Linked DNA regions of Saccharomyces cerevisiae S288C. The protein of the gene in region 1 purifies or fractionates together with the protein of each later gene. This does not show direct contact. Each region holds a gene or a part of one and is shown in the gene's direction. Other genes may lie near its edges. The genes, in order: NOP13, NOP53, SPB1 and TIF4631.

Region 1 (7,435 bases):
GTCACCGTGAATTTGTCAGCAAGCACCAAAAATGTCGATGCTTTCAATGACTATTACGTATCTTCTCTACTTTTGTGCAAATGTAAATACTAAATGAAAGCCCTATTTTGTGTAGGGTTTACACCGCACAAAGTAAAAAGAAGCGATAAAAATGAAAAAAAGTAGTCAAAATACATACTATCAAAGTAAGGGCATTGGTGAAATACTGCGAGGCTGGCCTTTTCCGCAAATATCTGGGGCAGCGAAGCGAAGGGGCCCGATAGGAACTTTTGGGGCGGGAGCCCTTGCATTGACATGGTTAAGGTTTTACATCCATCATTCTCCCCCTCTCTTGTGGTTTAAAAAAATAAAAGGTGGCCGATTTTTATGTAATATAGAAACGACTTCTGTCCTTCTGTCCTCTGTATTACCTAATTTTCTTTCTCTTGATGGTATTTAACTTTCTAAGCATTATAAGATAATATTAAAGGGAAAGTGTTTCTAGAATGCAATCGAGCTTACCTCAATTTACGTTCAAATGGCCCAAAGGACCCGAAGCAATTATTCTGACAGGCACGTTCGACGACTGGAAAGGTACTTTGCCGATGGTGAAGGACCCCAGTGGCGCCTTCGAAATAACGCTGCCAGTAACGTTTGATAGCCCTAGCAGCAAGTTTTATTTCAAGTTTATTGTTGATGGCCAATGGCTGCCAAGCAAAGACTACAAGGTGAACATCGACGAGGGAGTGGAAAACAACTTTATTACCGAGGAAGACGTAATAAAGCAACGCGAAAATGGCTCTAGCACGCTGGTACCTGAAAGTGCCGGATTAGCTGTTTCAAAGAATGCCCCTCTTATCGAACCAGAAGCTGAAAAACGTGCAAAAAAATTAAGAAAGTTCAAGATCAAGAGAGTGATCAAGACAAATAAACAAACCGGAGAAAGGTCGATATTTTCCCAAGAAGTGGTTGAATTGCCCGATAGCGAGGATGAAACCCAGCAGGTGAACAAAACGGGCAAGAATGCGGATGGCTTAAGCGGTACTACAACGATAATTGAGAATAATGTTGGTGTAAACGAGGAAAAAGCAATCAAGCCGTATGAAGAGAATCACCCCAAAGTTAATCTAGTTAAGAGTGAAGGATATGTTACGGACGGTTTGGGTAAGACGCAATCTTCTGAGTCTAGATTATATGAACTATCGGCCGAAGATCTTGAAAAGGAAGAAGAGGAAGAGGACGAAGATAAAGGCGGCGGTAAGGACACCAGTACAAGTGCAGACGCTGAAGCTTCAGAAGATCAAAATAAGGAACCATTAAGTAAATCCGCTAAATTTGAAAAACCGGAAGAAAAAGTACCTGTAAGCTCAATTACAAGCCATGCTAAAGAGACTTCTGTGAAACCAACCGGCAAGGTTGCGACTGAGACTCAAACTTACGAGACGAAACAGGGCGCTCCTACCGCTGCCGCAAAAAAAATCGAAGCTAAGAAAGCTACTAGACCTTCGAAACCTAAGGGCACGAAAGAAACACCAAATAAAGGTGTCCAAAAGAACCCTGCTAAGAATGGAGGGTTCTTTAAAAAGTTGGCCCAGCTTTTGAAGTGAAAACAATCAGGAGAATACCTAAATATATGACGTACTCGCCATACCTAACTATGTAAAACCTAATTATGTATTAATAACAATACCATGTTGTATGTAAACTCTGATGTAGGATCGCACTTTTGCCGAAAGCACATGCTTGTCTTTGTATTTCGCTTGTACGCCTTTGCTCAGAAAATTCTGTAGGAGTCACGTTTCCCGTTGAAATGCAAAAACCTGAAATTTTTCAGTCTGAAAGAAAAAATTGCGATGAGCATAGATGATAAATTTAACCATACAACAAAGAGAAATCCTTTTCCCCACAGAACATTACCTAAACCCAACAACTTTCTATAATTTGAGATAGAATGTCAGAAACAGAACTGTCGAAAGAAGATGCTGTTACAAAAAAGGATAACGAGGAACAAGTCAAGAAGGCTTTACTCGATCCAACAAAAAAGAGAAAAGCTGAAGATGAAATTGAGATTGACCTGAAAAGCTCCATTCCCCTATCAAAAAAACAGAAACGTCTCTTGAGAAGAGGTAAAGTTACTCTAGAGGAGTTGAATGCGAAGTACAATATCGACCCTAAGTCAATCGAGGAATACAAAGAAGATGCTGAAAAGAAAAAGTCTGGTGCTTCTGAGAAAGACGCCCAGGGTGAAGAATCTACAATCAACACTCCAACAGGAGATGAATCTGGCGAGGTTGTAAAAAAGAAGAAGAAAGATGAAAATAAATATGGTGTTTGGATTGGTAACTTATCCTTCGACACCACAAAGGACGATTTAGTAAGATTTTTTATTGCTAAAACAAAAGACAACGAAGATGAAAAGAGCAGAGTCACCGAACAAGACATAACCAGGTTATCCATGCCTCGTGTTGCTGCCAAGAACTCTAACGCCATGAAAAATAAGGGATTTTGCTACATGTTTTTCAAGAACGTCGAGCAGATGAAAGCGGTCTTAGAATTATCTGAATCTCATTTAAACGGAAGGAATATGCTAATCAAGGACTCCGAAAATTATTCAGGTAGGCCAGACAAGGACGATTTAGTTGCCATGTCCAAAAATCCACCGTCAAGGATTCTATTTGTCGGTAATTTGTCATTCGATGTCACAGATGATCTGTTAAGAAAACACTTCCAACATTGTGGTGATATCGTGAAAATCCGCATGGCAACATTCGAAGATAGTGGTAAATGTAAAGGATTCGCATTTATCGACTTCAAGAATGAAGAAGGATCTACTAATGCATTAAAGGATAAAAGTTGTAGAAAAATTGCCGGAAGGCCATTGCGAATGGAATACGGTGAAGATAGAAGTAAAAGACAAGTTCGTAAGAAGGTTGAAAATGTATCCAGAAACAATTCCTCATCATTTGATATCTCTAACAACAAAGGATACGATCGTGCGGGACAGGATAACGGCAGCAAACCCGAATACAAGCGGTCCAACGCCAACAGACGTCCACCTGTAGATTCCAATAACCGAACTAAGAGCAGTGTAGCTTTAGCCACTGCTCAGAGAGGTTCTGCAGCTATTGTCCCATCACAAGGTAAGAAAGTGAAGTTTGACTAATCAGCGTGAACTGACTGTAGGTGCCACGTATATAATGCGATTATTTCGCTTGTAAATTATTCAATCATTCATGTTTTATATATACATTGTATAACCAATTGCTGCTATTTTTATTTTTTCCATTATTGCTTATCAAGGCACGGGGAGAACGCACGGAAAAAAAAAAAAAAAAGAAGAAAGAAATGAGGTAAACAAGATCTTTAGGAGCGGTTCGCATATTAGTAATACACTGATAATCGCCGTACACTCATAAAATCCTAAACTACTCACCAGGTACCGAAACACTACTGATCCGTTTTTTGGACTGGTTGTTGGCACACTTTCGCTTAAGACACACATTTAGTATTTCAATCCCCATCCGTCGATATCTGAAGGAAATCTAAAAGAAAAGCTGGATAGAGTAATTATTTTGGCCATCGTATGAACTCCAATAGTACCATCGGAAGGACCACCCTTGGAGAATCTGATACGATATCCCTGTCATTCAGTGAACCAAGTAGCAGTCTGAATTCACGATCAACGGATGTTGTCTTCGCATCTACTTCAACTTTAGTACCCCAACAAGGAAGTCTGACCTCATTACCGCCCGTGTCTAGTACAGCTACTCCTACATATTATTCTACAAGCTTAACATATGATGAGACTTTGCATACATCCATTGATGTATCTTCGACAAGTACTTTAGTATCATCTACCGACAGCAGTTCATCGAGCGAGCAAGATACGTATAGTTCCCAATATGACCCAGCTACCTCCTCATACTCAATAATTACACCATCCATGTCCATTTTCTCATCGACGTCACCAATGTCATCATCGTCGTCAATAACGTCGGAATGGTCATCGTTAACATCAACAACACCAACGTTATCGTCATCAGCTACATCGCTGTCATCATCATGGTCGTCGTTATCATCACCATCTTCGTTACTGGTATCGTCCTCGTTGTCATTATCACTATCTTCATCATATTCAGACACTAAATTGTTTTCGTTCGACAGCAGATCTTCTATTTTCTCACCATCAACACCCACCGTAATATCCCCTAGTTACACATACTTGTCTTCCATATCTGCAACTTCATTTCAAATTAGTACCACTTCAGAACTCTCTTCTAGTTGGTTCTCAACAATTTCTTCTCCTTCTACGATATCAAATAAAGATACCACATTCCCAAGTTCCAGTCGGAATACTTCCACATCGTTTTACAGTTCATCGCTTTCATCGACGAACGATTTTTCAACCATAAGCAAATCATCGAAACTCAGTCCATCAGCTTCATCTTCGACAGTTTCCATAAGCACGATTTCCGTGCCAACGTCAAGTTCTGTTAGCTCATCCAGCAGTAAAGTACCTTCAAACCGTCCTTCATCATCATCATCATCAGATGATACAACAAGTGCTTACTCAAGCACGTATACTTTTCAGTCCTTACAATCTACTACTAGCAGCAGTATACCACCCACCACTCAAACACCCAGCACTAGTACGATTTCTACGTCTCCCATACCAACATCCAGTCAGGTCTTCAATACGGTAGCCATTTCAAGCTCCGAAGATTCAAAAACTATTTATTATTTCTATACCCAAACATATGATATTACTGACTCCTCTACAACGTTCGTGACGGGATTACCTACGACCATAGCAGTTGCAAAAAGTGAGGTAACCTCATTTTCCGCTCCATCTTCGACGATCACAGCTGACATGTCTTTCTATCAGCACTGGCTTGATGGCAGTTTGGATAATAACAAAAACCAAGGCACTTCAAAGACAAATACTGGTACCATTGTTGGAAGTGTGGTAGGAAGCGTCGGTGGTATTCTTATATGTGTACTAGTAGTTTGGTTCATGCTGGTTAGAAAAAGGAAGGCAAAGAGGCATTTCAAGGAAAACGATTCCTTCTGTCACGAGATTGGGCGCAGAACGGGATTCCCAACAACTGCCCAAGCAAAAGAGGCGTCACTTCAAGCTCAAGACTCGGGATCACAGCAACGAAACACCGAGACTGCTTCTGCTAATAATCCGTTCAGCAACGAATTCAATTTTAAGGCAAGAGGAAATCCTCCTCCAGTGCCACCACCAAGGAATGTTACCGCAATGAATGGCTCCTTTCAAAATATGCGGAGTAATTTCATGGACCAGGAAAACAGATTTTCCTATGGCTCTTCATTTACATATTCGTCATTGGGTTCATCTACTCAAGGTGGCTTTTCTACTTTATCTTCAAATTCGATACGACTCGGACGTGGTTTAGATAATGACATCTCTCATGATGAGAGAAATACAGTTCAGAACAATTCACAAGGGTTCTTGAGGGAAATTATATGACGATGACTTCAGTCTATTAGTATGATGTTTACTAATTAAGCAAAATCAGCTCTTGCTGAATAACACTACTATTAAAAATCATAAAAACATCTTTATTGCCAATAGTGAAGAACGACAAGGCCTTTTAAAAGGCATAAAAAACAATGATACCATTCTGCAATGAAAAAAAAAGAAAACTTTGTTCTTTGTGTATAAAGAAAATATTTTAGTTCTCCTAAATAAATAAATACTAAATTATACGAAACTCTTTCAGTCTTTTCTCCTGCTTGCTGCTTGAACAGTACTCATGATATTCTATTAATCTTCTGTGGGCGGGGTAACTAAGCCTTCACTGTACTCGGGATTTTGAATAAAAGTCAACTATCCAATCTGGAAGGCATTTTAACATACGCCATTAGGAGCCGCATAGCAAGTCAGAGAACCTCACCTCACCCTATCTTTTTTATTAAAGAAAATGAACTTCCACACGGCAAGAATATCTCAGGTCGGTGTCATTTCTAGGGCTCTACTTTCTTCTGTAAGTAGACGTTGGATTCATGTAACGCCAATAAGTCTTAATAATTCAGGAGGATCACTATTCGGAAGCATTACAGAAAATAAACCAAAGGAAGGAAAAAACAGGGGGGATGAAGATGCAGGCAGCTTCTCTAATAGGTTAGCGATTGCTTCTGATTCTTCTGGAGAGGCTCCTGAAGTTAATAGGGATTCAATAACCATAGAAAACGATAAACTACTACAGCAACATATCATATCGTTGCAGCAACCGGAACAATTAGCATCACAGAGCTTATTATCTCCTTTGAAAAGGGAAATATATGAAGCTAATTGTAAAATTAATGGTGGGTTTTACAAGAAAGATACTATTGTAAAGTTACCAAATTCTAGCGAACGTTACAAGCTAAAGTTAACAAAAAGAGAAATTGAAGTACTAGAACCTTCCGTATATGCTCAGTCATATAGAATTAAATCGTCGATGAAAAAGGCTACACTTTTGTTGAGGTTATTGGGAGGCCTCGACGTTATGAAAGCTATATCTCAGTGTCACTTTTCTAATAAGAAAATTGCTCGCGAAGTAGCAGAACTACTTCAAAAAGGTGTAAAAGATGGCCAAAAATTAGGTTTGAAACCAGAGGACTTATATATCTCTCAGATTTGGACAGGGAGTGACGGGTTTTGGAGAAAACGTGTTGAATTCAAGGCAAGGACAAGAATCGGAATCATAAGTCATCCTTACATACATGTCAGATGTATTCTGAGAACAAAGAGTGTTACGAAACGAAGACTTGCTTATGAAGCACATTTAAAAGAGCAAAAAAGAGCGCCATGGGTACAGTTGGGAGATAAGCCCATTAGGGGTGTTACAGGCGGCGTATACAAGTGGTGAAAACGATAGCGAACTCATTCATATCCGAGAAATCGTCCTGTAAGCTGAGAAAGATGAACTGCTACTCACTTCTTAACCTATATTCACAGTTGTGTTGTACAAAACTTTTCTTTTGATTATATAATATTGTGATTCTGTAAATAACAACTAGTTTCAACGCACTGCTTCAACGTGCACCCTCCTGACTAAACACGGCAATATGCAAGAAACCGCAACAATTAAGTGCACTAGAATAGAAGAAATTATTGTACTTATAGTTTATTTATGTATTTAATAATTAAATCTAAGCTTCAACTGGTTCAGCTTGAGCTTCAGTTTCTTCAGCTGGTCTGTAGTCCTTGACAGATGGAGCAAGAATTGGTTCTTCTTCTTTTGGTTCAATGATGGTGACAGCATCTGGCAAAGCCTTTGGACCAGTTCTGCTCTTAGCTGGGTCTCTCATAATCTTAACCTTGATACCCAAAACACCTTGTCTCATCAAGACGTGTCTAGTAGCAGTGTCAATGAAGTCGTTGACTGGTTGACCAGAGTGAATCAAGAAACCGTCAGCAAATTTCATAGCCTTAGCTCTGGCAGCT
Region 2 (6,297 bases), on another chromosome or scaffold:
GTTAAGCTGCAAGGCTACAACCAAATTAAAGCCAGTTTCACTAAATCCTTAATGCTGACTGTTAAACAATTTGGTCACACTATGTTGGATATTAAGGATGAGAGTTATTTGGTTACCCCACCTCCATTGCATATTGAAGGTATTCTTGTCGCTTCTCCCTTTGTTGAATTGGAAGGAAAATCATATATCCAATCTTCGACAGGTCTACTTTGTGTTATTGAATTTTCAGGTAGAGGCTACTTTTCTGGTAAAAAGAATTCATTCAAGGCAAGAATTTACAAAGACTCTAAAGATAGCAAGGACAAGGAAAAGGCATTATACACAATATCAGGCCAATGGTCTGGCTCTTCTAAAATAATCAAGGCAAATAAGAAAGAAGAATCACGATTATTTTACGATGCTGCTAGAATCCCTGCTGAACATCTGAATGTCAAGCCTTTGGAGGAGCAACACCCACTGGAAAGTAGAAAAGCCTGGTACGACGTGGCTGGTGCCATCAAATTAGGCGATTTTAACTTAATTGCCAAAACGAAAACTGAATTGGAAGAAACGCAAAGAGAATTGAGAAAAGAGGAAGAAGCTAAAGGCATTAGCTGGCAAAGAAGATGGTTCAAAGATTTTGACTACTCTGTCACGCCCGAAGAAGGCGCCCTTGTACCTGAAAAGGATGACACTTTCTTAAAACTCGCCTCTGCTCTAAATTTATCAACGAAGAATGCTCCAAGTGGTACTTTGGTGGGTGACAAAGAAGACAGGAAGGAGGATCTTTCATCCATTCATTGGAGATTCCAAAGAGAGTTGTGGGACGAAGAAAAGGAAATTGTTTTGTAAGGAGAACGATAAAGTAACAACTTGTTACCGTTGCACTAATATATTATCTATCTTTTCTTCTTTTTCCTTCCTTTTTCTCTTCATGTGACAGGAAAGGATATGAAATCATTAGAGGAACTAAGAAATCATTTTTACCATCCCCTAAATCTTATATTGTTTTGTTCTCTTTTCACTATAATGACTAGAATTTATTCTTTCGAACCACAAGAATATGCTATATTGCTGTTAAAGATGAAGCAGAAAAAACCTTTATCTATTTCTACTTCTTCCTTTAATTATTGATAGACAGATCGCTCATTTTTTTCTCATGATGTCATATCCTTTTTAATCATCATACGAAGGTTAAAATTTGAAGTTTACCAAGTTTTCATGCAAGTTTTGTTATTATTTACAACCTATTACTATATTTTATCTTCTCTGTTGATATCCTCACTTTTGTCTTTTTTATAACTCTCTAATTTTCTTATGTCAATTTTGTAGAACCACATAATCGATGGAGTATATGCACTTATACAACACTTTCTATACAAAGTTTATGGTATATCCCAAAATCTGTACGCTTATCGAACCATAGGCCTGTTTTATCACTCCATAACAATGAAACACAAGAGGCTAACGCCAAGTACTAAAGTAATATTATCATAATATTGCGTATTACCTAACAGGTGTGCTCTGAGAGAATACAGTCATATTTGACGAAATTCTATAATTCCATCAAAAAATTTTCCGTGCCCGAGCTTTTTCACTTCTAAAAAAGAAAAGAGCAATAAAAATGCGATGGGGTCCTTACATTACAACTTATGCTATTAGTTCGGCTTTCTTGTGATCCATACCATCCTCACGTTAATGAATCATTTATTTAAAAATGGCTCCAACTAATCTAACCAAGAAACCATCTCAATACAAACAGTCTTCAAGAAAGGGTAAGAAAGCATGGAGAAAAAATATCGATTTATCTGACGTAGAACAATATATGGAAAAGAAAATTGATCATGAAATTACGCATGGTACCAGTGATATAACCTCTTTGCAAAATGATGCTCTTTTTCATGTTGATGTTGAGGGTGATGAGATATTGAAAAATAAATTAATTAAAAGGAAACAAATTAAGAAGGTTCTAAAAAGTAAAGAGATTTTAGACGCCGTTAAAACGAATTCAAAAATTGCAGCACTAAATCACCATAAGAATAGTAGTGGAAATCCTAATAAGATTCAAGGTGTTTCTAAACACGAATTAAAGAAATTAATGGCTTTGGCTGGCAGAGTACACGGCGAATCGAAGATCAAGAATAGAGTTGCCAAAGACGGTCTAGTTAAAACAACGGCTGGCGACTTATGGGGTGAAGAATCCAATTCAAAGAAACAGAAGGTCAAATTACCTTCCGGTATCAAACTTGATGTGGAAAAAAAGGACCAGATACCTGAAGAACTATTGAAAAAATCCACGACAAGTTGGTCTACTGCTTCAGTCAGACCAAGTACTTTAGATATAGAGCCAATTGCAGTAAAAGAATTCACAGAAATTCCACATGCTGGTAAATCCTACAATCCCAACAATAAAGCTTGGTCAGAATTGATAAACAAAGAGTATAAAGAGGAAAAGGCAAGAGAAGATGAAAGAATCGCCTTGGAAAAGTACAAAGAAAGAATTAGACATTTAATGGAAACTTTAGATGACAATGAAGAGGAAGAGTCTTCATCAAACGAAGAAGAAGAAGAAGAAGAAGAAGAAAATGAAAATGAAAATGAAAGTACGCAATGTAGTGGATCTGATAAGGAAATAAAACTATCAATAAATAAGCCTGTGAAGAATAAAAAGAAAACAAAATATCAAAGAAACAAGGCAAAGAGACATGAAGAGAAAGTAAAATTGCAACAAGAGTTGAAAGAATTGAGACAACGTGTTAAAGATTTAGAAGAAGTTATCAATTCTGAAGAGACTGAGATACTTTCAGCCATAGAGTCAGATAGCAACAAGGTTAAAAAAAGCAAGAAAAATAAGAAACACAAGTTAGGGACGAAATACTCTGTGATTGATGAAAGATTGGAGATTAAATTTTCTGACGAATTATCTGACTCATTGAGAAAACTGAAACCTGAAGGAAATCTGCTATATGATACTGTGAGAAAACTACAAAGTTCTGGTAAGGTCGAAACAAGAGTGCCCGTTAGGAAAGGTAGAAAGTATAAGCAGAAAATCACTGAAAAGTGGACACATAAGGACTTCAAATAGAGTTTTTTGTTTTACAGTATATGTTTCCATGAAAAGGTTGTCCTTGATACGTGGATTCATCAAGTGAGATATATATATATATGTTCATATTTGTGTTGGCAAGACCAACAACTGTATAGTAGGTAACAAATTGTTTCATTTTCTTTTCGTTCTCTGCCCTTTTCTAGTTTGAGAGGGCATTCCCATGTCGATATCTCTAGATATCAGTTAAACATTCAAAAGTACAAATTCAGTTACGGAAATAATATATAAATTATATTCGCTAAATAAAATCTCTCCCTTTCTAGGGTGTTTTCAAATAATTTCAAGCTTTTCCCGTAGCTTCGTCCTCTCATCTTCCCAACCTTTTACTCTTTCTAGTTTTCTCTCCAATTCCTCAATCTCGTTGTCAATCGACGTGATTGCTTCATCGGTACCAACTGCCTGTAATTGCCATTTGCCATCTCGATTTTCACCGATCTCTAGTAACATTTCATGATATTTGATTAATGTGGGTCTTTGTGATATGGAAATGAAATTGAATCTGTATCGTTTTAAAAGATTGAACAGATAGTCTTCCATGTCAACACTAATTGCGTTTGTAGCCTCATCTAATACTACGTATAGTGGTTTATGAAACATGATTCTAGCAAAATTTACTCTTTGCTTTTCACCACCACTTAATAAGTCCTTCCAATCGGCAATGGCATCTAGGTAAGTTAAGCCAACGCCTCTTTTTAAAAGATAATCTAGTTTCACTTCGACTAATATCTGTACTAGCTCCTTATCTCTAAACCCCCTATCAAAGAATTCATCCGAGGACATGGGGTATATAATTTGGTCTCTTAAAGTTCCACCTCTACTAAAATATGGTTTCTGAGGAATAAAAAAAATATTATTTTCTGAAGGAATCGACAATAATCCATTTTTGTTATACACTGGCCATATTTCAGCTATAATGCGTTGAATTGAACTTTTACCGCAACCATTTGGCCCTAATATTAACAGGCTGGAGCCAGAACCCTGCAAAAATGGTAACTTTATATCATTTGCCTTCGATAAGTCTTGTATAGAATTGGACTTTGAAGTTATTGGGTCAATATGCAAAGGAATTTGAAATGTAAGCTTGTTAATCAGCTTTATGCCTTCGCTCGCCCTTACTGATGGAATGATTACGTCTATATTTTCTAACCGAATACCGTTAAAATTGCGTTGAATAGTACCACGAATAGCATCTTGCGAATTATCCGTGGTGGGTAATAAGTTGGAATTTCTGGAAGCGTCTTCTGTACGTATTGACAGGATTGAAGGAACAGCGCCGTAATTAAAGTTCAGAGAGTGAACCCTGTGTAAGACGGAAAGCAGAGTAAATATCCTATTAGTGTAGCCGGTCAATTGTGAGATGTCCTTTATCGAATGCATCAATCTCGAGCCTGCATCTGCAAGCGACAACATCAACCTTTTGTTGACTATAAATTCCTTCATATTTTTTTCCTCTGAATTGATGCCTGTCGCTAAGGTAGACATAACGATAGGGATTGAGGCAAAAACATAACCCAAACCGGACCATGTATATTTTAAAACATAGTCTTCCAACATATTGTAACCAAACTTGACTTTATCAACCAGCAGCATTTTTTCCATCAGCACATCATACAACTCTTTAACTTTCGTCCTTTCCACTGCTGTTCCTTGGTAAAATGCGATCTCTTCGCTATTATTTATCATGTTTAGATGATAATTGTAGTAATCGCCGTCTGAAGCAGATCTCTCGCCTGCCAATTTACCTAATGGTGGCGTGTATTTCCTCAAAATAAACCCAGTAATGAAATAATTAACAAATATACCTGCTACTCCCACAGTTCCCAAATTATCACGTAAATAAACCGAAAAGAATATTAAATCAATAACTGGCTTTGCAATGTTTGCAAAAACGGAGCATGTCGCATCGCAAAATTTTGCAACATCATTAGTAATGGAGTTGTCGATATTCTTGATTACCGAATTGGACGCCTTTGCATCAAAAATTAATTTGTAAAATGTTAGTCTTTTATCCAAATACATGTCATGGATGTAACGTGTCAAATTTACCCTAAAGTTTAAACTCAACTTCCTTTGAAGTAGCTTAATAGCACTATTAGTATAAGAAGCAGGGACAGCAATTAAAAACCAACACCCTAAGTCCCACAGAAAGCTTCTTCCTCTACCAGCAATTATATTTTTGACTATTTGTCCATCCAGCTTGGCTACAAACAAAGAGAGCCAAGTTCTCATCACCAGGAAAAAAATTTGAGCAGTTAAAAGAAGAAAGTTTTTGTCAAAAACTGTTGGAATTAAAATTTTAGACAAGACGTTCATTTGGTTTAAAAATTTTGAGTAGAATAACTGCGAATTCTTGGCTCTTTCCAGTTCTACATTTTTAAAAAGAAACTTATCGTGTTCATATACATCGTTATCCTTTGGTGGAATAAATATCCTTTTCCTTTTTTTTTTATCTGTAGCATTCATAAATTTGTTGTCATCGGGACTCTGGCGGTCGACTAATTCCACTTCAGGAATATACATTATTCTTGCACCACTGTCTAATTGCATTTGAGATCTTGTTCTTCTTATTAAAGGTCTCCTATTCCTTCTCTTCCATGGAAACTTGTAAAATTTATAACATTTTAGAATAATTTTGAAAGTACTATATGTTACACCAGAAAAAAGTGTGACACCAGATAGGAAAAGCGATACCAATAAAATCTGGGCCCTTCTTCTTAGCTTAGGATGAGCAGCGTTTGATCTAGATATCTGTAGAAGATGCCGTATCAATAACTTGAAATATACTTTAGGTGTGACATCGTTAACGTGTAGCCCAATACAGTGAGTATGTAGATTCAGGAGCAAACTCTTTAGTTTCGCTGGTGCTGCTAATGTTGTTGACATTTCTGTGTTATGCGTTCTAAGACTTCCAGATTGTCTGAAACGGGTTTCATTGTTAGTCTCACTTCTTAGAGAAGCATTCTTATATATCTTGACTCTAAAAGGGCTGAAAATAACCGCCGAAATTAAAAATTGGGGTAAAAAAGGGTAACGAAACTTATGCGGTTAAGCCCGATCAACATATAGCTGAATATTGCGTCAAGAATAATTTCTTAATCGGGATTATTTCCGAAGGAAGAAATTCTATTGAAAAAAAAATCTTAACATCAAAACTGCTTATATACATTCCACAGGTTCAAGCGGTCATAAGAGATCTGACTTTTGATAGA
Region 3 (8,499 bases), on another chromosome or scaffold:
AATTATCCAATTCCAAATTCTAGGGACGGTTTCCAAAGATTTGTATTGTCCAGTGACATAATTTTCACTAAAACATTGATCTGTTTAATAGGTTTGCTATAAATGCACAATAATTTTTCACCCATGATACCCAATTTCAAGAGAAGCAATTGCTACATATAATTATTTAGGCTTTACTATCTACTACTCATTGACTGTGCCCTTTTACACAATTATAACAAATATGTCAAAGCAGATGCCATGAACTTTGTATCTGAATTTTTGATTTCCTTTTAATTCTAATTGCAGACGACGTAAATATAGTTCTGAATTTCAAAGTCACTGTTAATTAATTGTTCTAATTGTTTGGTTTTTTTAATATAAATCACTAGTGCTTAAGTTCTGTTGACGCACACAGTACCTATCTTTGATTCCTTCGTGCAAACAGTATTCCGGCACGTTAATTGATACCAAAAAGATTTCAAAATCAGATGCTTCAAGACTAATTGTATACTTTATGTGACTTCTGGAGTTTAATTTGTTGTATTGATGAGATAATATTGTCTATTATATTGCCAATAACAACCAGCGCCAGGTGTACTAAGTCGAGATGACAGAAAATTTATAATAAGTGTAAATACAATAAATTTTGTAAATAAATAACTACTTCAATAGAAATCTCAAAGTCGAAGAAACACAGAACACAGAATGAAACTGGACTAAATGATTTTCAATAAAGGAAAAGCACGAAAAATTTTTTGAACTTTTTTGGGACAGCGTGGATCGTGTAATTACTGTATTGGGAAATTTACACGATTCTCGACAAATAAAGAAAAAGGCGCGTTTAAAGACTTACAAGCACACCTTTGAATTATTTTTGTTCTCTATGATTATCAAATGTGCTAGTGTTTGCAAGATGGTGCTTTTTTTTCTTTAGATTGCCACGTTTCTGCTCCTCTTTGTGGTTTTCTTTTTTTTTTTCAATCTTACTTATAAAATGAATATTTCAATTGATGAATAGCTATATATTGGATACAAAAATTAGCATTTAATCGAAAACTGCAGCATGTATTTAATCGAAAACTACAGCATGTAGCTATGATACGACAGAAGATTTTTGTTTTTATAGTTAAGTCAAGAAGAAATTCTATTTGTCCAGCAATCCGGCGCAAAGAAGACTACTAAAGGGTATTGAAAAATTTCTAGAACCAGAAATAATCGAAAGCATTACTTTTTTTGGCTCTATAAAGGAGTTCTGGACAGCTTGAACTTCCGAAGTCTGTCTGTTTAGCTCGTTAAGATAAATCTCAAAAGAGTAGCAAGCAGGTGGGAGGGATAATTTGGATTAAAGTGTATATATTGCGTATATATAGCCACGTAAACCTCACACTATTGAGTTTAAACATTTTTCACCTTACGTTATTATTCTTTTGTCTAATTTTAATCTCCTCCAGTATACTAAAACCGCAAAAGCGGGTTACCCAGCTTGTTTCTTTTTGTCTGAAAAATTTTTTGCGATGCCCATTATGAAAAATTGGCAATAATAGTATAGTAGTTAGTTTAAGTTTAGATTCTTTCAATACTCATTCTGCTTCAGTTTGTAGTTAGATTTAACTCAATAGAGGTGATTGGCAAAAATGGGTAAGACACAAAAGAAGAATAGTAAGGGACGTTTAGATAGATACTATTATCTAGCAAAGGAGAAAGGTTATCGTGCTCGTTCATCCTTTAAGATTATTCAGATTAATGAAAAGTATGGCCACTTCTTAGAAAAATCGAAGGTTGTTATTGATCTGTGTGCTGCTCCTGGTTCATGGTGTCAAGTTGCATCCAAACTCTGTCCTGTCAACTCCTTAATTATTGGTGTTGATATTGTTCCAATGAAGCCGATGCCCAATGTTATAACTTTTCAAAGTGATATTACAACAGAAGATTGTAGATCAAAATTGAGGGGTTATATGAAGACTTGGAAAGCTGATACAGTGTTGCATGATGGTGCTCCTAATGTTGGTTTGGGTTGGGTTCAGGATGCTTTCACCCAATCTCAATTAACCTTACAAGCTTTGAAGTTGGCCGTCGAAAATTTGGTGGTGAACGGTACTTTTGTTACTAAAATTTTCAGATCCAAGGATTATAATAAATTGATTTGGGTTTTCCAACAATTGTTTGAGAAAGTTGAAGCCACAAAACCACCCGCATCAAGAAATGTTTCTGCAGAAATTTTTGTAGTGTGTAAAGGTTTCAAGGCACCAAAGAGGCTGGACCCAAGATTACTGGATCCAAAAGAAGTTTTTGAAGAATTGCCAGATGGGCAACAGAATATGGAGTCCAAGATTTATAATCCCGAAAAAAAAGTTAGAAAAAGACAAGGTTATGAGGAAGGTGATAATTTACTGTATCATGAAACCTCAATTTTGGATTTTGTCAGGACGGAAGACCCAATAAGCATGCTTGGAGAAATGAATAAGTTTACAATTGATGAGAATGACCATGAATGGAAGATCTTGAAGAAATTGAAACAAACCACAGACGAGTTCCGTTCCTGTATTGAAGATTTAAAAGTCTTGGGTAAAAAGGATTTTAAAATGATCCTAAGATGGAGAAAGATTGCAAGGGAAATCTTGGGCATCGAAGTTAAGGACGACGCTAAAACAGAAATTGAAGTAGTACCGTTAACAGAAGAGGAGCAAATTGAAAAAGATTTGCAAGGTTTACAGGAGAAGCAGCGTCTAAATGTCAAGCGCGAAAGAAGAAGGAAGAACGAAATGAAGCAAAAGGAACTACAGAGAATGCAAATGAACATGATAACCCCCACTGATATTGGTATTGAAGCCGCAAGTTTGGGTAAAGAATCGTTGTTTAATTTGAAAACTGCAGAAAAGACTGGTATCTTGAACGACTTGGCGAAGGGTAAGAAAAGAATGATTTTTACAGACGATGAATTAGCCAAAGATAATGATATTTACATTGATGAAAACATCATGATCAAAGATAAGGATTCTGCCGCTGATGCGGACGATTTAGAAAGCGAGTTGAATGCCATGTATAGTGATTATAAAACTAGAAGGTCGGAAAGGGATGCCAAGTTTAGAGCTAAGCAAGCACGTGGTGGCGATAATGAGGAAGAATGGACCGGTTTTAATGAGGGAAGTCTAGAAAAGAAAGAAGAGGAAGGTAAAGATTATATCGAAGACAATGACGATGAAGGTGTCGAAGGAGACTCCGATGATGATGAAGCCATCACCAATTTGATTAGCAAATTGAAGGGACAAGAAGGTGATCACAAATTGAGTAGTAAGGCACGTATGATTTTCAATGATCCGATATTTAATAACGTTGAACCTGATTTGCCAGTAAATACCGTCAATGATGGCATAATGAGTTCCGAGTCTGTTGGTGATATTTCTAAATTAAATAAGAAAAGAAAACATGAAGAAATGCACCAGAAACAAGATGAAGCAGATTCTTCGGATGAGAGTTCAAGTGATGACTCCGATTTCGAAATTGTGGCCAACGATAATGCATCAGAAGAATTCGATTCTGATTATGATTCAGAGGAAGAAAAAAATCAAACAAAGAAAGAAAAGCATTCCAGAGACATTGATATTGCTACTGTTGAAGCCATGACTTTGGCACATCAGTTAGCATTGGGTCAGAAAAACAAGCATGATCTTGTTGATGAAGGTTTCAATAGATACACCTTCCGTGACACCGAAAATTTGCCAGATTGGTTTTTAGAAGATGAAAAGGAACATTCAAAGATAAATAAGCCGATTACTAAGGAGGCAGCGATGGCAATTAAAGAAAAAATAAAGGCAATGAACGCCCGTCCTATTAAGAAGGTTGCTGAAGCTAAGGCAAGAAAGAGGATGCGTGCCGTAGCTCGGTTAGAAAAGATCAAGAAGAAGGCGGGCTTGATTAACGATGATTCAGACAAGACAGAGAAGGACAAGGCTGAAGAAATTTCTAGATTGATGCGTAAGGTTACCAAAAAACCAAAGACCAAGCCAAAGGTTACTTTGGTTGTTGCCTCAGGTAGGAACAAAGGTTTGGCAGGTAGACCAAAGGGCGTTAAGGGTAAGTATAAGATGGTTGATGGTGTCATGAAGAATGAACAAAGAGCCCTAAGACGTATCGCAAAGAAGCATCACAAGAAAAAGTAGTAACAAAGAGCATTATTTTTCCATTCCCTTGTATAATATTGAAAATAAAGGAAAAGAAAGCAATAGATATATTATGTATACATAGAATTAATCAAATTATCATCAAAAAACTTATAGGAAACCTATCGTTTTGAATTCAGAAAATACGAGTGCACAGTAGAACAATTTTTATTCCCGTTTTACTGATCTTTTCTTCTTGTTGTTACCAAATACCTTGGAGAAAATGTATATGATGGAGATGAGTAAGCATAGTAACGTACCATTTTTGATCTTGGAATAATCCTTTGTGTCAGGCCTTGGAATTGGTACTAGAAGAGTTGTCGAGTTCAAATGGCGGAATGTAGTATCGTCTGTAAAGAGAGATTCATATCCTAGACCTTTTTTATAAAATGGATTACGGGAAACTTTATTGTCACCTGTGTCGCAGGCTAATATAACTTCTGGATCAAATGAAACTTCTAATTTATCCCCTTTATTATTAGAAGGCTCAATATATCTAGTATGCAATGTCACTTCATTCATTGTGCCGGCTTTCAATTCAAAGATACTTTCAGAACCCCATGCCTTATCTCGAAGAGAGTATTCTGGTAATTCTAAGTCGTCTTCTCCAAAAAGTAGTAAGGGAGAGGATTGGAATTTATCGATAAATAATTCTAACGGCAATTGCAGGTGCATTAGATACATGCATTTAGGGCGTTCTTCGAAATCTGTGAGATCAATCATGATTTTTGGATGCAAACCGATAGGTTCATTCAGATATAGTGATGTCGTAGTCGTCGAGTGATTGTATGCGATATGGCCCTGTTTATACAATAAGGATGTTTTCTGACATCTTTCCATTTTACCATCGTCCATCCTCCAATTACAACGTATTCCACCAATATCGACATCACTTTCATCACTTGCATCCACAAAGAATACACCTACTTCGAGTTTCTCATCTTTCACTCTTGCAATTGTAAATTCTTCACCCTGTTTCAACAGACGATATTCAACAATTTGGATTTGTGTGGGCTCCACTGATATATCATATGTAAAATCTTCTGGATTCCATGACAGATTCAAATCTACTTCGGGAGGCAAGTACTGCTCTATGTCAAACTTCTCACTGTGAAATGAATTGTAGACTGGGTTAGTAATAAACCTTTCCGGCACATCCGAAGAATTTGAGTAAACTGAAAAGCCAGCACTCAGTTCATTTTCTATAACGCTTAAACTTCTAGCCAAGTCCGCTCTGGGCCTCCAAGTGATTCTCGTAAAGGATTTATCCAAGCTTCCAGTCCTCTCTAATAGCCACCTTTGTTGTAAAACCACACCAGAACCTCCACGAACAGTCAAATGAGTGTCATTTTGGCGCATATGATTACCGATATCCTCAGGGGCATTGTAGAGTACAGTCACTCTATGTCTTGTCACCATTACTCAGCTAGAAACGCACACTTCTTGCGTTTATTCTCCTCCCGATTTGATTATGATTAGCGTTTCCATTATTTGATCTTTTTTATCAGGGGGATCTTCAAAGAAAGGAACTTTTTTTAGGAAAAAAAAAATAATCATCTTTTATTACATGTGTAATACTTCAAGCAATCATAAACAAGAGTTAAGAAGGCAAAGTTCTGCTGTTAGTGTGTCCTCCAATACTCTTGCACGACAAAGTTTTAGTTATCCCCTTCTACGTGTATTGTTCCTCCGTGGTCGATTGTGTTCAAAGATTGGGAGCTCTTTTCGTGTTTTGCACTAAGAGCATACTGTTAATCCGCAAAGGCCACTAAAACTTACCTGCATTTGTCTACTTAAAGATACATTCCAACTATTTACATTCATTTTTATTTCTAAAAGAGCATTCTGAACCCTCGGCAATTATTTCATACTCCTTCTCAGAATAGGAAAATGCCCAATACGCATACTCAACATGTGCAAATATCAGAGCCAAATCCTGTAAATACTTTGTCTACACCATCCAAAAGAGGTCACCGCCATCGCAGATCGCTAGCAATATCAGGAGATTTTGATTTTTTGAAACAGCCTGCAGCAATTGTGAATTTACCACCTCCACAGGCGGCTGAAAATTGTCCTTCAACTGCCCCAACTGCTGTATCAAGTACATTATCGCCAATACGCTACAATAGATTTCCTTGCAAAACCAATGAAGACGCTGGAACGTTAGATTTGCCTGAACCAAGATTTTATCCGTTATCACCAAAGAACAATCTGCAAACACCAAGTCCACGATTTTTCATTAGTGAAGAGCCAAGTTTTTCATCGCCAGTTAAAGGCGTCCCAGATGCCATTATTAACCTTGACGATGCGTTGAAGACAAGGCCTAGGTCATTTAAATCACATAGAAGATCTGAATCCGCTCCTCCTGATTTGGAGGTTATGGTAGATAAGGGCAATTGTGCAGCCGGTTCTAACTCTATGATTAAAGAAGAAGAGGACTCCTTAATTGAACCAGAATCGAAAAATGAATATTATGAGCAAAAGCTTCCAACAGCACTATTATCCCCACTGCGGCCTTCCCTTTGTGTATCTGAACAGGCCATTGATGTAGATGATTCAGCTCTCAATGGGTCACCGACCCATCACAACCATGGGATGCAAAACGCCAATGCACGGAATTCCAACACATTCAATTCGTTGAAGATCAAAGGCCAAAAGCAAAGATATTATCATTATACGAAGCAGCTACCTTTGACCGTAGGCTGTGACTCGCAATCTCCAAAAGAACAAAGGTCGGCTGCTTCAATGACAATCAATCAGGCAATGACACCTTCTTCCCTGGCCTATACCCCTTCTAAACTAGCATCTACTCCCGCAACACCAGTATCCTTTTATGACAGCAATGCGGACATTAACTTAGAAAGTGATAATTTTCCACTAAAAGATAACCCTAGATATGCCAAGGATGGTTATCCTAAAAAGTGCGGCAATTCACAGCTTAATCGTGTGCTGGATAGCGATAAAAGACAGGATTTTAGTGGAGAATCGAGAAGAAGAAGATCGGGCAGTCCTATCTCCCACATGCAACACCGCAACCTGATTGATAATATGAAAGGTAGACGAAACAGTAACACGATAAACTCAATCTTCAACTACAAGAGTCAACATTATGAAATGCCATATGATGATATGATGAAAAATGAAAACATTAATGCACAGTCCATGCCCTTTTCAGTCAACGGTGTCAACAATGAAAATAGTATCGGAGGGGTTATTACGAGAGCGGACGATGCACCCCTTCAACACTCTGTGGTCAAATCCTGTACGCCTGATGGCAAGGAAGAAATGAATAGGCTTAAAAGTAATGACAGTAATGAATATTCCAAGTCTGAAGGGCAGATCAGAACCAATTCGCAACTAAGTAAGGACATTCTCATGGGTGAACCAGGTGATATGGTTGATCTGTCCTCTTTTGTCAACGCGCAGAGAAAAGCCTCAAATGAAACTGGTGACTTAGTCTTTAGTTTATCCCAGGATGATGACGCACTGAAAACGTTCCATGCGAGCAACAGCGCAGCAACAAGCAATGAAAGCTGGTGTATTAGCGATGATGCGTTAGGAAAGCAGGCGCAGGACAGTGAAGTTAGGAGGAAAAGAAAATCCAAATTAGGACTCTTTAGACATATTTTTTCAAGGAAGTAATACAACAATATTAATAATAAGTAATAAAAAGGTGAATCGTAACCTTAACGGCATTGATTGCATGTAGTTTTAATAATAAAGTGTAGAATAATAAATATAAAATTTCAAAGTCATCAGAAATAAAAATTGAATAGACATATACATATAGAAATTACTTCTATCATTTAAATACATATATATACATACATGTATACGTGTATACTTGTACTTGTGAAGGACTCAATAGTTGTATTCGTTTGGTTTTTGACCAGAAGTGTTTGGGAAACCACATTCCAATAAGATATCGTTAATCAATTCAGGTTTTTCAGTAATCTTGGAGAAAACTTCATCATTTTTGGTTAAGATCATACCACAATAACCTGTGGAGTTGAAACCTATCTTCATTTCATCAGAAAAGGCCTTCGAGCGTGGAACGACACAGATCCATTCCTTGGTTAACATAAGATTGTAGGATTTCTTTAGTTCTGGATTTTCGTTCAACCAGTCCTGGAAAAAGGTCAAAGCTCTTTGCAATATGGAGATGTAACACATAGCTAATAGGTCTTCATCAACAGTTTCTTCAGACTCCGGCATTGGCAAGACAAAATGAGCGAACGAGACTTTAGCATCTTGCAAAGGTTCAGTATTGAAAGTTGGTAGGAAATGTTCTTTACCATTACATAGTCTATCTTGGAAAGTGACGAACTTTTCAGGCATTTGCAGAATTTGCAAATGT
Region 4 (8,738 bases), on another chromosome or scaffold:
TTTTGCTATAATTCTTTTATTCGAATTTAAGTCCTTGCTGAACAATATCATATCATCAACGAATAAGCAAATTGTTACTTGACTATTCTTAAATACGCATGACCATCCACGAACTTCTTCCATACCACACTGTTTTATCAGGTATGATTTGATAGTTTCGTACCAGTTCGCTCCACTTTGTTTCAATCCATAAAGTGATTTCTTCAAACGTATCAACTTATCATTCATTCCTAAATGTGGTGGAGGTCTTATGTATAATTCTTCTTTGATGTCTGCATACAAATATGCCGAAGATATGTCTAATTGTGTAATATAGTAGTTATTGTCTAATGCAAGTGACAGGGATGTCATTAATGCATAGTGATGTACGGTATTGGATTGCATGCCTGAGTCGTAAGTGTCAGGATGCTGAATATCACCTCTTGCAACAAATCTAGCTTTATGAGTACCGTCACGTTTCCTGTTGAAGATAAACATTGAATTTATTACTCTTTTAGGGTCTATTTCTTTTCTGTCATAATATTTGTCAGTGTCCCAAGTATTCATTTTCAATAGTTGGTTGACTTCTTTGTGGTATGCTTCGATATATTTTTCCTTTTCTTTAATATCTTTATTATAGGTGATTGCCTCATCGTATCTTAAGGTTGTCCGTATTGGTTTGATTGATTTTACTGCTTTTACAGCTGCAATCAGGTGAATTCGTTTCTTCGATCTCGGAGGTTCTAAACTACGCATATTCTTAGTATTCCATGTGTCTCGTGATACCTTAATTTCAGTTTCATTATCTTCTAATGATCTTTTCTTACTGTTGATAGTAGTATAGGCATTAGAGTCACCAATACCACCCAAACTGGAATTAGTTTGACGAGAATTGATCGGTGGAAGTTCTTTAAAGGAGTCTGATAATTCGGTAGGAGGTTCTGGAGGCAGATCGGGAAGTGGAAGATCAGCAATTATAGATTCCTCTGTATTCTCCTTAGGACAGGTATCTGACGTTTTGATAGGAACGACGTGGTGTAGTGAATTACTTTCTGATGAGGAAGTATCGATCGAAGGTGAACGGTGTATAATCCTTTTCTCAGTCTCCTGTTCGCTTGTCTGCGGAACAGTTTTATTATTGGTACCACCCGTACTGGATATTGGTACGTTTGTATGATTAGTCTCATTGTCACTGTACGAGTCTGAGTGTCTGAAATCTTTAGATTTACTGGCGTACGACGACTCATGTGTGTTAGATTGGGACATGGGAGCAAGTAAAGGAACATTTAATTTATGCATACCACCCGAACCGGTACTCTCGATATTGGAAATTTGGGGGGTGCTAGATCTCTTCTTTGATGGAAGAATATTAGATTCAGATATGTTGGGGTCAACTTCTCTGGGTGCGCGAATATTGGTTTTAGAAACACGTTTCGAATCTTCAGTATGAGTTGACGGAGGTGTGGAATCGGTTGGACTCACAGCTTTTGAAAGGACATTTCTCGGTTGCTCAGGATGTAGTTCAATGTCGGATTGGAAGTCATGGTCAGATTCTATGTTAAGATCATTGGATTCTTGGATCTCATTTGACGCAATGAACGAATGATATGAAGCAGTTAAACGGTTTAAGTCTTCATCGAAAGTGAGTGCGTCGTAATTGAATTGATCTAATCTGGATTCCTTGCCCTGAAGAATAACATAGTTAGTTGTATCTACTGTCTTCTTTAAGGATGGAAGATAGATGATATATCCATAAGAGTTTCGAGACGGATGTAGAGCGTAGCCTGGGATGCCACGAGGATGTATTTTGGAGTTAGGGTTGTGATCATTGACGATAACAGGTTGACCGAAAGGTAACAAAGTACTGATATCAAGTCCTGCCAAGCCAGCATGTTGTCTTGCAGATTTTTTGCTTTTAGGTGAAGCTAGTGAATTTCTCACAATAGTAGAAAATTCGATTGCAGAGAACCATAAATGGTTCGGTAAACCACTACATTGCAGTTGAGTACGGCAGTCATCTAATAAGGTACGGTTCAGCCGTTCAGCGACTCCATGTGCTCGGGAATCCGCTGTGGTTGTATAGCATGGAGTTATACCATTTTTTTCAAGGAATTTATGGAGAGTTCTGTTAGTATACTCAGAACCACGGTCCATTTGTATAACTAAGACACTGGCCTGAAACTGGTTTTTAATAAAAGCTAGTATCGTAGTAAAAACATCGAGGATAGAGTCCTCGCGACGGTCGTGTAATGGATAAACCCAACGGAATTTTGTTGTCTCATCAGTAAATGAGATGAAATAGGATGGTGCACTTTTTGGTAGGTTGTGAACTGGACCAAATATGTCAGTATGTAGGTATTGAAAGGGTTCGTATGAATTTTGGTATTTTAGTCGTGAACCTTTGATATGTCTGTGTTTGGTGCTTTTGCCGATTAAACAATCAGGACATTGATAGTCAATAGCACTAGACCAGTCGACATCTGATTCGTTAAAATACGTGATGGTGTTATTTTTAAGTGAGTATCGAATTGTCTGTGCATTGGCATGCGCAAGCATTCGATGAATGAAAGGATAAGGATATTTGCGTGTACTTTCACTTGTATGGACATTATTGATGGTGGGTACGGAGATATTTGATGGAAGCAAGTACTTTTTAGATACCCAGTAAAAGTCTCCATATTTCACGATAGGTGCAAGTACAGTGCCGTCAGACCGTTCTAAGACGTTTTTGGTAAAGCATGCTGTGATATCTACTGCAGCCAATTCATTCAAACTGAGTAAGTCATAGGCTATGTTAGGAGTGTGCAATACCTTTATTGATGTTTTGGTGTTGTCCTGGAAGTGAAATTGTAGGTCACCAATAGCGTTAATTGGTATATTTCTTTTTTGAGCATCAACTACGTTTATGTCAGGATTAGATGATGCTGAGTGTATGTGATGAGCAGATCTTATAAGGGTTCGTGATGCTCCTGAATCGAGAAGGAGGTGTCCAGGGAGTTCATCATCAGAATGATTAGTATGATTTACTGTAGATTCAGTAAGTTTCTGGCCTAAGATGAAGGTCGTGCTTATTGTTCAATTGAATCGGTTCAGTAGTTGATTTACTGATGGAATCGTTGTCCGTGCTGGGAGAGTTATTAGATGTGGATACATTGTGAGCCCTGGCTGTTTTCGATTTCGAATTATTTGTTTTTTGAGGATTCCGAGCTATAACTTTGGGTTTGGTTGTATTCGTATAGCTGCGAGAATCATTCTTCTCATCACTCGGATTTCTCCTGTAATTAGGTTTGCTGTTTCTCGATCCCTGTTGTTCTTCATAAATAGCATGGATATCTAAGAACAGTTCAGCGACTGTCATATTTAGATGTCGATGACGTGTGTAGCGTAAAAATTTATATTCGCCAGATAGACCTCTCATAATTAATTGGCATGCGACCTTGTTATTGATATGAATGCCATTATTGTTCAGTCTGTCGATAATGTTTGTGACTTTTGTTTCAAATGCATCTGCAGGTGTACTGCCATTATATTGCAAATTTGCCAGGGTCACAATGTCGTTTGCCTCTTGGGTATCAGATTGCATTTTTTCAATACTTTTGGAAAGAATTTTCATGATATCCGTATAATCAACGGATAGGATGTCTTTGACCCAGGTAGGTAGGAATTGAGAGGGAGCAAATATTTGAAAAGTGTTATACAAGAAGGTGAGTTCATCATCAGTGATCTGACGTACGGGTTTTCCGTTTACTGTCGGAATAATACCACCGAGATTCGAGTTTTGTAAAAATTTGATGTATGTTTTAACCCAATTTGGAAAGTCATTAGGTGAGGTTAACATTGGTGGTGGTCTGACATATTTTTTAGTGGATGTCATATCAGAGTCCGCTGAGGATGAATCAGTAAATGTATTACCTGACTCAGGTGATGGAGTGCTCAGAGGCGTTCCAACTGATGATGGATACTGCGGAAACTGTGATTGTGGCCCAGGTGGAAAGTACATAGGCGACATTTGATAAGGTGTATACGGAATCATAGATGGGTGTCCGTAAAATGACCAACCAGATGGATTGGCTTGGTTTTGGGTCATCATGCACTGCTGTGGGTACGGCCCATTCTGTGGAGGTGGTACTGAAGCAGGTTGAGGAGAGGCATGATGGGGGTTCTCTGGAACAGCTGATGAAGCAGGTGTTGTTGTCTGTTGAGAGTTAGCCTTAGTGGAAGCCTTATCATATTCTTGAATTTTGGAAGCTGAAACGTCTAACGGATCTTGATTTGTGTGGACTTCCTTAGAAGTAACCGAAGCACAGGCGCTACCATGAGATATATGTGGGTAATTAGATAATTGTTGGGATTCCATTGTTGATAAAGGCTATAATATTAGGTATACAGAATATACTAGAAGTTCTCCTCGAGGATATAGGAATCCTCAAAATGGAATCTATATTTCTACATACTAATATTACGATTATTCCTCATTCCGTTTTATATGTTTCATTATCCTATTACATTATCAATCCTTGCACTTCAGCTTCCTCTAACTTCGATGACAGCTTCTCATAACTTATGTCATCATCTTAACACCGTATATGATAATATATTGATAATATAACTATTAGTTGATAGACGATAGTGGATTTTTATTCCAACAAAATCCACATTCTCTTCATATATACATATATTGGTTGTTGTTACTACTTTAGCTTTTTTCCTCTGTTCGTTTCAAGATCTAGCTTGCAATTATCCCTCTAGGTAATAACCAGCATAGTTGTCGTCGTTTCATGTGACCTATTCCCCTTTAATTGGATCAATCTTCCAATAAGAGTGGTTTCGTGGTCTAGTCGGTTATGGCATCTGCTTAACACGCAGAACGTCCCCAGTTCGATCCTGGGCGAAATCATTTTTTGAAGATTACATTAATAAGGCTTTTTTCAATATCTCTGGAACAACAGTTTTTTTTTACTTACTAATAGCTTTAAGGACCCTCTTGGACATCATGATGGCAGACTTCCATCGTAATGGGATGATCATATGATGGGCGCTATCCTCATCGCGACTCGATAACGACGTGAGAAACGATTTTTTTTTTCTTTTTCACCGTATTTTTGTGCGTCCTTTTTCAATTATAGCTTTTTTTTTATTTTTTTTTTTTCTCGTACTGTTTCACTGACAAAAGTTTTTTTTTCAAGAAAAATTTTCGATGCCGCGTTCTCTGTGTGCAACGGATGGATGGTAGATGGAATTTCAATATGTTGCTTGAAATTTTACCAATCTTGATATTGTGATAATTTACTTAATTATGATTCTTCCTCTTCCCTTCAATTTCTTAAAGCTTCTTACTTTACTCCTTCTTGCTCATAAATAAGCAAGGTAAGAGGACAACTGTAATTACCTATTACAATAATGACAGACGAAACTGCTCACCCGACACAATCTGCTTCAAAGCAGGAATCTGCTGCTCTGAAACAGACAGGCGATGACCAGCAGGAATCTCAGCAACAACGTGGCTACACCAACTACAACAATGGTAGCAACTATACCCAAAAGAAGCCTTACAACAGCAACAGACCTCATCAGCAAAGAGGTGGTAAATTTGGACCAAACAGATATAACAACCGTGGCAACTATAATGGTGGCGGTAGTTTCAGAGGTGGACACATGGGAGCCAACAGCTCAAACGTGCCATGGACTGGTTACTATAATAACTACCCCGTTTACTACCAGCCCCAGCAAATGGCGGCCGCTGGTAGTGCCCCTGCTAATCCAATTCCTGTCGAAGAGAAGTCACCTGTTCCAACTAAGATAGAAATCACTACCAAGTCTGGTGAACACTTAGATTTGAAAGAACAGCATAAAGCCAAGCTACAGTCTCAGGAAAGATCTACTGTGTCTCCGCAACCAGAGTCAAAGTTAAAAGAAACTTCTGATTCTACTTCTACTTCTACTCCAACTCCTACCCCTTCCACTAATGACTCTAAGGCCAGTTCTGAAGAAAATATATCTGAAGCTGAAAAGACAAGAAGAAATTTCATCGAGCAAGTTAAACTTCGTAAAGCTGCTTTAGAAAAGAAGAGAAAGGAGCAACTTGAAGGTTCTAGTGGCAACAATAATATTCCAATGAAGACTACCCCAGAAAATGTGGAAGAGAAGGGATCGGACAAACCTGAGGTAACCGAAAAAACCAAGCCTGCTGAAGAAAAATCTGCTGAGCCAGAAGTTAAGCAAGAAACTCCAGCTGAAGAAGGTGAACAAGGAGAAAAGGGCCAAATAAAGGAAGAATCCACTCCAAAGGTGTTAACCTTTGCTGAACGTTTGAAGTTGAAGAAACAACAAAAAGAACGAGAAGAAAAAACGGAGGGGAAGGAAAACAAGGAAGTGCCAGTACAGGAAGAGACTAAGAGCGCCATCGAGTCTGCTCCTGTGCCTCCCAGTGAACAGGTTAAAGAAGAAACTGAGGTCGCCGAAACCGAACAGTCAAACATTGATGAATCTGCAACAACTCCGGCTATCCCTACTAAATCTGATGAAGCTGAAGCTGAAGTTGAGGCTGAAGCAGGTGATGCTGGAACAAAGATTGGACTTGAAGCTGAAATCGAAACTACAACTGATGAAACTGATGATGGTACAAACACCGTTTCTCACATATTGAATGTATTGAAAGATGCTACACCAATTGAAGATGTCTTTTCTTTTAACTATCCAGAAGGTATTGAAGGTCCTGATATCAAATACAAGAAAGAACACGTCAAATATACATATGGCCCAACTTTCTTGCTTCAATTTAAGGACAAACTAAACGTCAAAGCGGACGCCGAATGGGTCCAAAGCACTGCTTCTAAAATTGTCATTCCACCAGGAATGGGCAGAGGAAATAGATCTAGAGATTCTGGCAGATTCGGCAATAATTCTAGTCGTGGCCATGACTTTAGAAATACCTCAGTGAGAAATATGGATGACAGAGCTAATTCAAGAACTTCATCAAAGAGAAGATCAAAGAGAATGAATGACGACAGGAGATCTAATAGATCTTATACATCAAGAAGAGACCGCGAGAGAGGCTCCTACAGAAATGAAGAGAAAAGAGAGGACGATAAACCAAAGGAAGAAGTTGCTCCACTTGTTCCAAGTGCTAATAGGTGGGTGCCAAAATTCAAGTCTAAAAAGACTGAAAAGAAGCTAGCCCCTGACGGAAAGACCGAACTATTGGACAAGGATGAAGTTGAAAGAAAGATGAAGTCACTACTGAATAAACTTACTTTGGAAATGTTCGATGCTATTTCATCTGAAATTTTGGCTATTGCAAACATATCAGTATGGGAAACAAATGGTGAAACGTTAAAGGCTGTGATAGAACAGATTTTCTTAAAGGCCTGTGACGAACCCCATTGGTCTTCTATGTACGCGCAATTATGTGGTAAAGTAGTTAAAGAATTAAACCCAGATATAACAGATGAAACTAATGAAGGTAAGACAGGTCCAAAATTGGTTTTGCATTACTTGGTTGCTAGATGTCATGCCGAATTTGACAAGGGTTGGACCGATAAATTACCCACAAACGAAGATGGTACTCCATTAGAACCTGAGATGATGTCAGAAGAGTACTATGCAGCTGCTTCTGCTAAGAGAAGAGGTTTAGGTTTGGTTCGTTTCATCGGTTTCCTATACCGTCTGAATCTGTTGACTGGAAAGATGATGTTCGAATGTTTCCGTAGACTAATGAAGGATTTGACGGATTCTCCATCTGAAGAAACTCTAGAGTCCGTTGTTGAATTGTTAAATACTGTTGGTGAACAATTTGAGACCGATAGTTTCAGAACGGGTCAAGCAACATTGGAGGGTTCGCAATTGCTCGATAGTTTGTTCGGTATTTTAGACAATATTATTCAAACTGCTAAGATTTCTAGTAGAATCAAGTTCAAGTTGATCGACATTAAAGAATTAAGGCACGACAAGAACTGGAACAGTGATAAGAAGGACAACGGTCCTAAGACCATTCAACAGATTCATGAGGAAGAGGAGAGACAACGTCAATTGAAGAATAATTCAAGATCTAATTCAAGACGTACGAACAACTCCAGTAATAGACACTCTTTCAGAAGGGACGCTCCTCCTGCATCAAAAGATAGCTTTATCACAACCAGAACATATTCTCAAAGAAATAGCCAAAGGGCTCCTCCTCCAAAGGAAGAACCAGCTGCACCAACTTCTACCGCAACAAATATGTTCAGTGCATTAATGGGAGAAAGTGATGACGAAGAGTAACATGAATAGATCATGTTAAGTATCGAAAATGTCACTTGGATACAAGGATGTTGGTAGAAAGTCTAATAAAATAATAAATTAATAGTACAACACAAATTTAATCTTACGTTTAATCCTGCGCTATTAATTGAAAATATATGCATGGAGAAGAAAAAAAAAGTGTCCCTAATTTACCATTGTTATATTTTCTCGATTAATGGGCTCATTTCTTTTCACTAAAAGCTATAAACAAGTTTGATGCATTTTAATGGGTAATCCTCTTACTGTGCTTTTTTTTCCTATCTTGTTCTATATGTCAATGCCTTTCTGTATTTTTATTTATAGCTTCGCCAGTCTTCGTTTACGATATGTTTTATATAATAGACCACTCAGCATATGTATAGTTTTGTATATTTATATCATTTATTAGCTGACGGCTTTAACTTCATATTTCGATTTAATCATGCTACTGCTTCACCATTTGTCCTTTTTTTTACAGAGGCCACGAAAGGAAAGGACCG

What was found.
Region 2: the proteins of NOP13 (region 1) and NOP53 purify together in Saccharomyces cerevisiae (affinity purification with mass spectrometry; 2 studies listed by BioGRID). This does not show direct contact.
Region 3: the proteins of NOP13 (region 1) and SPB1 purify together in Saccharomyces cerevisiae (affinity purification with mass spectrometry, with the first as the bait; 2 studies listed by BioGRID). This does not show direct contact.
Region 4: the proteins of NOP13 (region 1) and TIF4631 purify together in Saccharomyces cerevisiae (affinity purification with mass spectrometry; 2 studies listed by BioGRID). This does not show direct contact.

What each region holds. Positions count from the first base shown.
Region 1 is NC_001146.8:303,108-310,542, reverse strand, and holds NOP13 (Nop13p), read left to right. Parts: upstream 1-1,930; coding exon 1,931-3,142; downstream 3,143-7,435. Other genes in the region: MDG1 (Mdg1p), read left to right, coding at 486-1,586; TDA7 (Tda7p), read left to right, coding at 3,563-5,473; mitochondrial 54S ribosomal protein uL22m MRPL22, read left to right, coding at 5,928-6,857; 40S ribosomal protein uS3 RPS3, read right to left, coding at 7,141-7,435.
Region 2 is NC_001148.4:272,929-279,225, reverse strand, and holds NOP53 (Nop53p), read left to right. Parts: upstream 1-1,696; coding exon 1,697-3,064; downstream 3,065-6,297. Other genes in the region: oxysterol-binding protein KES1, read left to right, coding at 1-831; ATP-binding cassette long-chain fatty acid transporter PXA1, read right to left, coding at 3,359-5,971. UniProt on the Saccharomyces cerevisiae protein: Late-acting factor in the nuclear maturation of 60S ribosomal subunits, which is required for normal acquisition of export competence. Required for the export of the large subunit.
Region 3 is NC_001135.5:29,833-38,331, forward strand, and holds SPB1 (27S pre-rRNA (guanosine2922-2'-O)-methyltransferase), read left to right. Parts: upstream 1-1,616; coding exon 1,617-4,142; downstream 4,143-8,499. Other genes in the region: RDT1 (Rdt1p), read left to right, coding at 1,078-1,164; PBN1 (Pbn1p), read right to left, coding at 4,311-5,561; LRE1 (Lre1p), read left to right, coding at 6,033-7,784; APA1 (bifunctional AP-4-A phosphorylase/ADP sulfurylase), read right to left, coding at 8,004-8,499. UniProt on the Saccharomyces cerevisiae protein: Required for proper assembly of pre-ribosomal particles during the biogenesis of the 60S ribosomal subunit. Specifically methylates the guanosine in position 2922 of the 25S rRNA at the stage of 27S pre-rRNA maturation.
Region 4 is NC_001139.9:818,680-827,417, forward strand, and holds TIF4631 (translation initiation factor eIF4G), read left to right. Parts: upstream 1-5,379; coding exon 5,380-8,238; downstream 8,239-8,738. Other genes in the region: YGR161C-C (gag protein), read right to left, coding at 3,014-4,336. UniProt on the Saccharomyces cerevisiae protein: Component of the eIF4F complex, which interacts with the mRNA cap structure and serves as an initial point of assembly for the translation apparatus.